Cricetulus griseus: one gene and its partner. The protein of the gene in region 1 purifies or fractionates together with the protein of each later gene. This does not show direct contact. Links are inferred from orthologs where the notes say so. Each region holds a gene or a part of one and is shown on either strand. Other genes may lie near its edges. The genes, in order: G6pd and Hars1.

The links.
Region 2: the proteins of G6pd (region 1) and Hars1 fractionate together in Homo sapiens (co-fractionation; 3 studies listed by BioGRID). This does not show direct contact. The link is inferred for Cricetulus griseus from reciprocal best matches to the Homo sapiens genes G6PD and HARS1.

The regions. Positions count from the first base shown.
Region 1 is NC_048604.1:1,291,836-1,296,345, reverse strand, and holds the start of G6pd (glucose-6-phosphate 1-dehydrogenase), read right to left. Parts: upstream 2,847-4,510; 5' UTR 2,720-2,846; intron 2,191-2,719; 5' UTR 2,183-2,190; coding exon 2,063-2,182; intron 1-2,062. Other genes in the region: Ikbkg (NF-kappa-B essential modulator), read left to right, coding at 3,050-3,052. UniProt on the Homo sapiens protein: Catalyzes the rate-limiting step of the oxidative pentose-phosphate pathway, which represents a route for the dissimilation of carbohydrates besides glycolysis.
Region 2 is NC_048595.1:200,746,541-200,750,957, forward strand, and holds the start of Hars1 (histidine--tRNA ligase, cytoplasmic), read left to right. Parts: upstream 1-1,416; 5' UTR 1,417-1,487; coding exon 1,488-1,577; intron 1,578-1,816; coding exon 1,817-1,906; intron 1,907-4,417. Other genes in the region: Hars2 (histidine--tRNA ligase, mitochondrial), read right to left, coding at 1,060-1,170. UniProt on the Homo sapiens protein: Catalyzes the ATP-dependent ligation of histidine to the 3'-end of its cognate tRNA, via the formation of an aminoacyl-adenylate intermediate (His-AMP). Plays a role in axon guidance.

The DNA of each region.
Region 1 (4,510 bases):
CTTAGTACACAAGAGACCATTTGTGACTTCTGTCACATACAGCTGCCTAAAATCCTGTTGGTTTGCTTGCTCCCAAAAGACACTGTCCCCATGAGGCTAGGGACTGAGGCTGTTGTGGATTGGAGGAGACACTTGATTGCTACATTGAATGAATGGAGAACTTGCAGGTATCCTAGATCAGCACTTTGCCTGCCTCATGCATTCAGTAAAGTGTCAGGCAAGAGATATTCTGGGGGCTGTCCCGGCACAGGGTCTATTTGTCTCAGGCCCTCTGAGAAGAACAGAGAAAAAAAAATGATGATCTTCAGCAAACTTCTCTTTCTTCCCCACTCCTTTCTGCTGGAGCTAGCAGTTCACATTTCTATTCTGGAAGCCTCAGTTCTCACTCCAGAGCAGAGGAGAGCAAAGGGGAACCATACCGATTGCAGTGAAATGAAGTTGCTCAATTTCAGGCTAGAACTCACATAATTAGTCTAGGATAAAGCCAGAGGCTGTCTGGCCCTTGTTTGTTAGATGAAGACTACTAATGTTCAGAGAAATGGAGACATTTGTTCCAGGTCACACAACAAGCTATCAATGAGGTATCTAAGAGTTCAGGTCTGCCAGTTGTAAACTATCTTTGATGTTTAGATTATTATTGTTGCAAGCTTATAAAAGCATGGGTGGGGCAGGGGAAATCATCCTTAGTTACTTTCTCTTCCAGGTGGTCATTTAGACTGAAGGACCTAATAGTCAGAGTCCTATATGCTAAGGTTTGTAGTTGATACATGTATGCATGGCTCCTTTAAGGGGACTAGGCTGGTGCTACGGCTGAGGGTAGGACTGCTGTACTGTGTGTTCCAACTGGGTACCTCTGTTGGGTCTTACAGTTATAGGGAGTTAGGGGACAGTGCCTTGGGGGTGTCTCTCCCTTGCCCTTTCAGTGGCTGAGCCCTTCTCCTCTGTTTCTGCATTCCTTTTCTAAGTTTTCTCACTCCACTTTTGCTCTGAAATACAAGGCTGACAAAGAACACGTCTGGCAAAGGGGGTGGCATGTTCTGATTTCCTCTTTTTTGATAGTACCGGGAATTGAACTTAGGGCCTCATGCATAAGAGCCTAGTACTTTACCACTGAGCTACAGCCCTAACCCTTAGTGGGTGGCAATGCTCTGTATGAACAAAGAACCACAGAGTTCACCCAGCACTGAGGGGCCCAAAGTGTGCAAGGTGCTGAGCTAGTAGTGGCTACCCTCTCAATAACACATTAGCTCTAGTGAAGTTCTTGCTCAAGGTTACACAATAAGTTAATAGTGAAGATGGTAACACGAGGGTGATCAGATTCTAGGGTTAAAAGCAAGCAATTGAGTTTACCTTTTCCACAAAACCCTGGTCACTGAACATGCCCTGCTTCCACAAAGCACATGAGAGGGTGCCCCACCTGCCCCAGTCTCACTGTGTACCATCATCACACCACCCCTCTGACTACGCTTCTGTTCTTCAGTTTTTCCTAACAGAGCATATTGGTAGTTGTTTTAGTTAGACAACTGGGAACCAGGTGGAATCAACAGAAATCTGCAGTAGGCTCTGGAAGATGTGGTAAAGAGTAGGTGTTTGCCTCCAGGGAACTTCATGCAATAGAGAGAAAAGAGGCAGAGGCAGGACCTCAGATCCTTTCACTGAAAGCAACTGTAACATTTGTCAAATTACAGATTTGGAAAACATATAGACTGAATAGCACTTCCTGGTTGCACCTCAGTTTTTTTTTTTCCATCCAGGAGGAAGAAGTTCAAGTAGATGGTGCTTTAGAACTTGCATGCTCCAAGTCTGGCCCACATTTAATGGCTGAACATAGATTTCTGAAAAGCCTTGCAAATGAGAAATTTGACAGAAGTACATGATGTACAGCAGGTACTGACTGCTGTGATGATCAGGACACACAGGTGGGAACATATGCCGTGAGTTCAAATTAGAACCTGTGTGGCCCCTTAGCAGTCAGTTGGGAAAGTTCAGGTAAAGAGAGAGAAGTGCCTTGCAAAATGCTACATTTGATTTTTTTACACTCAGGGCCTGAGGGGAGACTCACCGATGCACCCATGATGATAAATATATGTGTATCAGCTTGGTGGAAGGCATCACCCTGGTACAACTCTTCCCTCAGGATGCCACACACCTGGGTCCGGCTCAGGGCCACCTGCTCTGCCATGGTGTTTTCTGGTGGAAGAAAGACTCATTGATAAGGCAGGAGAACAGAAGAGCATTGACAACTTAACCTTATCAGAATCAGAAACTGCTGCTTCTGGGCTCCAGCCATATCCTATGTTGTCTTCTCTGGGGGCTGTACATTACGAAATCTCTATAAGCATTAATGGAATTCAGCTAGGGAATCCACTCTGGGAAAGCGACGCGGTCAGAGCATCGCACTGTGTCTGGGGCCATCGCACTCCAGTCTCTGCCAGAAACGCCACAATGAACTGAGCATCTTTTCATTGTGCAGATGATGGAGTTCAGCCCCAGCTCTCTGCTGGCCAAGCTAAATGATCCCAGAAAGACCCTTCTCTTCTAAAAGTCTAGTCCTCATGGGCCTAATGCGGGGAAGTGCGGGGTACAATGGGATGGGTTAAGACCTCGTAGATCTTTTTCCATATCCAAGCATAACAAATAGCGCTCATCAAAGGGACACGCGGCTCATAAGCGGGAAGCACATCCCTCCACCGGTGTGCTATCAGACCACCCCCTTTACCTGTGTTTAGTTGCTGCTGCCAAACAGGTTTACAGTTCTGGAGTGCACAGCTCGTTTCCGGGGGCTGCGCTTAGCTGGCTCGTTTAACGCAGGAGGGCGGGTGCTTTGACTGAGCTGACCCGCCTCAGGAGAGGCAGGAGAGGAGGAGCTTCGGACTACTCCATCGGTGAGGGAGGGGAGAGTAGCAGAAGTAGGTGCGCACGCATCCCTTGTCAGCCCCACCCTGTTGGCCGTCCCTGCTTTCCTGCTCCGCGATCGTGATGCTTTGCTGGCACAGATACAGCTCCGCACAGTTCTCCTGCGTCCCCATCGCTACCCCAGCCATACTTTATGGTCTGTTTTCCGATGGACCCTCGAGTCCCTGCGCACTCCTGGATGACCCCACTTCCGTTAGCAGCATAGCCACGCCTCCCCTTGCAATCGGTTTGGCGTCCTTTAGCAGCTTCTTCTAGGCTTTTTCCATGGTAGGGACCTGGTGGCAGAGAGCCCAGTGACAGAACCAGACTAAAACTGGGGTGTTTCATTGCGAATGCGACGCCTTGAAAATGGGGTGGGGACAACTGTGGGCGAGGTGACACACGCCTTTAATTCCAAGCACCCGGGAAGCAGAGGCAGGTAGATCTGGATAGCTAGGAGAGAGACCCTGTATCAAAAAAAAAAAAGTGTGTAAGTGTGTGTGTGTGTGAGTGTGTGTGTGATCTTTATCAGTGAAGAGCGTTGCGCTCTTCGGTTAGCCAATGCAGGCTGGCGGTCTGAGGCTTCTCTTCAGAGTGGGATGCAGCACTATTGTGGCTTCGCAGCTCCAGTTAATCTCCTCGACTTCGAGTCTGTGTTTTACTTCCGGATCCCACACTTACGACACCGGAAGCCGGAAGCAGGGGTTTCCACAGCCGAGAAGGGAAGGGTGACCGCCCAACCAGGACTTTCTGAGAGCTCCGATTCAATCTGAGAGGTCGGGTTCCGCTGCTCAGGCCCTCTTCACTTCTGGCCGACTCTGCTGACAGGTGTAGTCCTCTTCTCCAAAGATAGGGCTCCATCGGTGGCCATTATGCAGCTTCCGAGGCTCCTGAGCCCCCTTCCCCCCACCTTGGGCCCAGTTTGTTCTGTTGCATGCTTTCGAATGCTTTTTAGAGCATTTATTCAAGAAGTGCAGATTCGCGACCCAGCTTACTTGGACTGATTTCTGTCCTTCCCTCTGCTTATCTGTCGCCTAAGGGCTTGGCCCCAAGTGCTAGAACTCTTAGTTCACAGACATTTTTCTGTTGATGAAACTTTGTTTTCTGAAACAGCATCTCGAAATGTAGGCCAGGCAGACCACGAGCACAAGATTCTCCTGCCTCAGCTTTTTCAAGTGTACCGACTTTGCCTTTGTTTTTGAAGGGTTCACGATAAAAGGGAGAAACAGTCAAAGTTATCTTTGATGTAACTGGTCCCAGTGGGGTCAATTGATTGTAAAAGGCAAGGGAAGAAAGCATGGTGATCTGTAAAGAGATTATTGCAGTAATCCATGTGAAGGATGATAGTGCTGTCAGCCTTTTATTACTGAAAACTTTAAAAATGTACAAAAGTAGAAATATTAACATAGTAAGTTCCATGTACACATTTCTTAGTTGTCTCTATCAACTCATAGCTAACTTTAATTCACAGCCCTTACAGTACTCTACCATGATTTTTTTTCCTCTTTAGAAAAGATGTTATTTTATGTGTGTGGGTGTTTTGGCTGTGAGTATGTATGTGTACTACATGCTTGCCTGTTGCTAAAGGAATTCAGGAGAAGGTGTGAGGTCCCCT
Region 2 (4,417 bases), on another chromosome or scaffold:
AACCTATGGAATGATAGGAATAAATTTCCTGATTGGAAAAAGTAAAACAGACCAGCAAAATGCTATGATTTAAAATGAATAAAAGATCTGAACCCTGTTGAGCATGACAGTAAAAAGCATCTGCTTTCAGAGAGAGGTGACAGCCACTAACTCAGTGTTAGTGAAATTGGCTTGTGGGTAATGGTGCGAGACACTTATCGTGACCACCTAAATTCAATCCCCATACCCTACAAGTGAAGAAAAGAACAGAAATGTGCCATGGCACACCAATGCCCACACACATTAATAGATAAATGTACTTGGAAAAAAAAAAAAAAAAAAGAATCAGGCTTCCAGAAATACAAATGGTGGTAATTCCATACTCTGGAGAGTCCCTAAAGAGAAGTGTGAGTTCAAGTCCATAACTCTTTATTCTAATTACAAAATTCAACTGTCGCTGAAAATGTTTCTCTGAGATTCATTTTAGGGTAAATTTGTTGATGTGTATTAACTCAGTTTATTTATGGCTTGGGAGACTATATAGATCTGGCTCAAATTCTAACATGTTCAAGAATTTCAGATGACTGAGAGTAAACCTCATTATAATATTTAGTTGCTTTGTATCCCTGTAAGTCATTTAATCCTGTGGTCTCCGCTTACTCAACTGTAAAAATGGAGATAAAACCCGCAACCTCTGAGAGTGCTCCAATAACAAAATGACAAAAGCATCCAAAACTCTTAGTTCAGTGCAGGTACAAAGTGGCTAATCAATAAAAACCAATTTCAGGGCTGGAGATACGGATCTTTTAGAGGATCTGGGTTCATCACCAGCAACCACATGGTGGCTCACCACCGCCTGTAACTCCAGTCTCAGGAGATCCGACGCCACTTCCGATCTCTGCTGACACGAGGCGCGTACGCAGTGCACACATACAGGTACGCAAAATACCCATACACATAAAAGAAACAGACCTTTAAAAAGTAAAAACCAATTGTAACAATACAATATAGGCTGCAAATCTAAGTTTTCAGGCAGGGGGCTCCTCCGGGAATCGGCGGAGCCGGCTCAGGGTGGCTCACCTGGCTGTGACAGCCTGCGGCCCGGATGCACAGAGCGCGCGGAGGTCGCAGGGGCTGGCGGAGCAGCGCAGCCCAGGCGCCGCAGCGCAGGGGCCCCAGGTGGGACATCATGCAGCAGGACACCGGGCTTCCTGAAGAGGAGCCAATGGCCTGGGAACGAGGCCAGCCCAACCTCAGAAAGGCGACAGAGAGCTGAAGAGCCTAGCACCAGCTCTGGAAAACACCTGAGATCGGAGTTAGTCCGGGTTGGGAAGGGGGTGGAAATGAACTCCAAATATCTCACGCTCCCTGAACCGGAAATGCTTGTGCTCTCGCTAGAGACGTTCTAGGCACGAAAGCCGGTGACTCGATAGCCGGAAGTCATCCGAACGTAGGCTAGGTCTACCAAGGCGGGGTTAGACAGCAGGCTGTTCCGTTTGGCAGCCAGGATGGCAGATCGTGCTGCGCTGGAGGAGTTGGTGCGACTCCAGGGAGAGCATGTGAGGGGCCTCAAACAGCAGAAAGCCTCCGCTGACCAGGTGCGACTCAGATGGAAGGAGAGGGGCCGGACAAAACCAGAGGAACACAGATGGTGGTCTGGCTGGAGGACAGGCATGTCAATGAAGAGACTAGGCTGGTAGAATGAAAGGGGCTGAGTTCGAGAAGGTAGCCAGGGTGGGTCCCGAGAGAAGCGAGGCTAGACCTAAGAGAGAGGAGTGTCGAGTAGGAGGGAGGGGAGTGACAAATGGACAATGCAGTGGCGTTTTTCCCTCCACAGATCGAGGAGGAGGTGGCGAAACTCCTAAAACTGAAGGCACAGCTGGGCCATGATGAAGGCAAACAGAAGTTTGTGCTCAAAACCCCCAAGGTAAACTATTCCTGTGAGAGGCCTTAGAGGGAGGTCCTGTTCACAATCGGTAATATTGCAAAGGAGTCAGTAGTTGGTGTAGGCACTGGGCTGGATTGATCTCAACCTGAGTCATTCGGTGATGACAGAAACAAGGCGGCTCAGCGGAGTCAGCCTGCTAACTGCTACTCATTGCATTCATTACATACACATTGAGTAGGTCTGTGTGTGTGGTACTGTACATTGAATATATACCATACTGGACGCCTGTCTTTGTGATGCTTGATCCCACTGAGACAGATATTTAAGACAATAATTCCACCCAGGGCTATGCAATTACAAAATATAACTGGTGATATGAAGAACGTTATGGCTGGAGAGATGGCTCGGCAGTTAGGGGAGTGCAGAGAATTCAAATTTGAGTCCCTGCACCTACATCAGGTGACTCACAATTGTCTGTAACTCCAACTCCAGGGGGATCTGATGCCTCTGGCCTCAGTAGGCACCTACACCTATACGTTCACATAACATACGTTCACCTATAATCATAACATAGATACACATACACCCACATGTATAAAAGTAATAAAGAAACTTTTAAAAAGAAAGTTACAGAGATGCTCTGAGAAAAATAAGGGGTAGCTGGGGAATCTGAGAAGCCACACTTAAGAAAGTGATATACTGATGTACCTCTCAAGTGGGTAGGACATAGCCAGGGAAAGACTTAGGATAATAGGCTCAGTAGAGTATGGAAACCCTGAAGCAGAAAAGAGCTTTGATATTTACTAGGAACCAGAAGAAGACCTGCACAAATAGAACCAAATAAGGTCAGAGATGCTGAGCTCAGCCTCAGAGCTTCAGTTCTGATGCTGTTCTGTAAGTTCTATAAACAGAACACTGCACCTTCATTGGTTTCTCTTGGCACTTCATATATAGATAGCTCTGTCATTGCACTGATTTTTAATTTTCACTTAGTGTGTGTGTGTGTGTGTGTGTGTGTGTGTGTGTGTGTGTGTGTGTAACTGCAGAAGCCAGGAGAGGATGTCAGATTCCCTGAAGCTGGAGTTACAGGCAGTTGTGAGCCATAGTACCGAAAATTGAACTAATGTCCTCTGGAAGAGCATCGAGTGTGCTTACTTGCTAAGCCATCACTCCTGACCTCTGCAACAACTTTTTAGTGGTTCATGAAGTTTGTTTAGCAGAAGCTAAGACTGAGTGCCTAGAAATAAACATTTATCTAATGAATATATTTTAAGTTGATTTTCAAAGAAGAGAGAAGCCATGTGTGGTGATACACATTCTTTAATCCCAGTACCCAGTAAGCAGAGACAGGCAGATATCTATGAGTTTAGTGATGTTAAGACAGATCATTGTGTTTAAATAAAGAAGGGCTGATCTATCACAAACTCCCCATTTTCTACTTTATTCAATAGCTTCAATCTGAGATTTTATTATATTGAGACAGGGTATCTCTACGAAGCTCTGGCTATGTGGGCCTGTGTGTCCTTGTGTGAGGGGGCAGCTGGAGTTACAGGCAGTTATAAGCTGCCCAGCCTAGGTGCTAGGGACCGAAGTCAGGACAGACTTCGGTGTACAAGTTCCAGGTCAGTGAGGACTACCTGGTAAGAAAATAAGGCCTTGTGTCCAAAAGGTGGGGGAGGGGTGGAGATGGCTGGTATGATTAATTCTTCTGTGTTGAGGTTAATTCTTTCAGCCAAATTCATTTAAGCTGTGCTTTTCTATGCATAAAAAAAAAAACAAAAAAAAACAAACAAAAAAAAAAACCGCAAGTCTGGCCAGCCTCAGACTTGCTATATAACAGAGGTTGGTTTTGAAATTCTGATCCTCAGGTCTCCACCTAACAGGTGCTAGAATTACAGGCATGTTCTACCACCCACACATCCCACATAATTCTTTTTCAAAGGTTGAAGAGAAATTTAAAAATCTCAAAGAAATGGGGGCTGGAGAGATGGCTCAGTATTAAGGGTGCTTGTTGGTGGTCATCTAGAAACCTGAGCTAGGTTCTCAGCACCCACATATAGCAGCTCACACTTCTCTAATACCAGCTGGCCTCCAAGGACAACCACACACATGGCATTAAAGAAATAATAATCAATAATTGCTGGGGGGGGCTTAATGTCTCTGTGTCAATAAAGCAGAAGAACAGACATGTTTCTGTTGATATGATACCATAAAAAGTACACATCACTGTCGATGAGTTCTTGTTAGGGGAATTTGAATCTATTAAGGCCTTCAGACTAAGGTGGAGCTATGCAAAGTAGAGAACAGGTTAAATGGCATATCAGTAGTATTGTTGACTGAGTCCAGAATGTGAAAAACTTTTTAGGACAAATTATCCAGTTTTTTCAACAAATAAATAACATAGAGGGACAGGAATAAGAGTGTGGCTCAGTGTTATAAGGCCTGGGATCTAAACCAGACAACACAAAAGAAGAAAAAAAGGAAAAATGAGAAAGCTGTTTGTGATTAAATTGACATGTCCTCTAAATATAATATGTTTAGAATATGGTT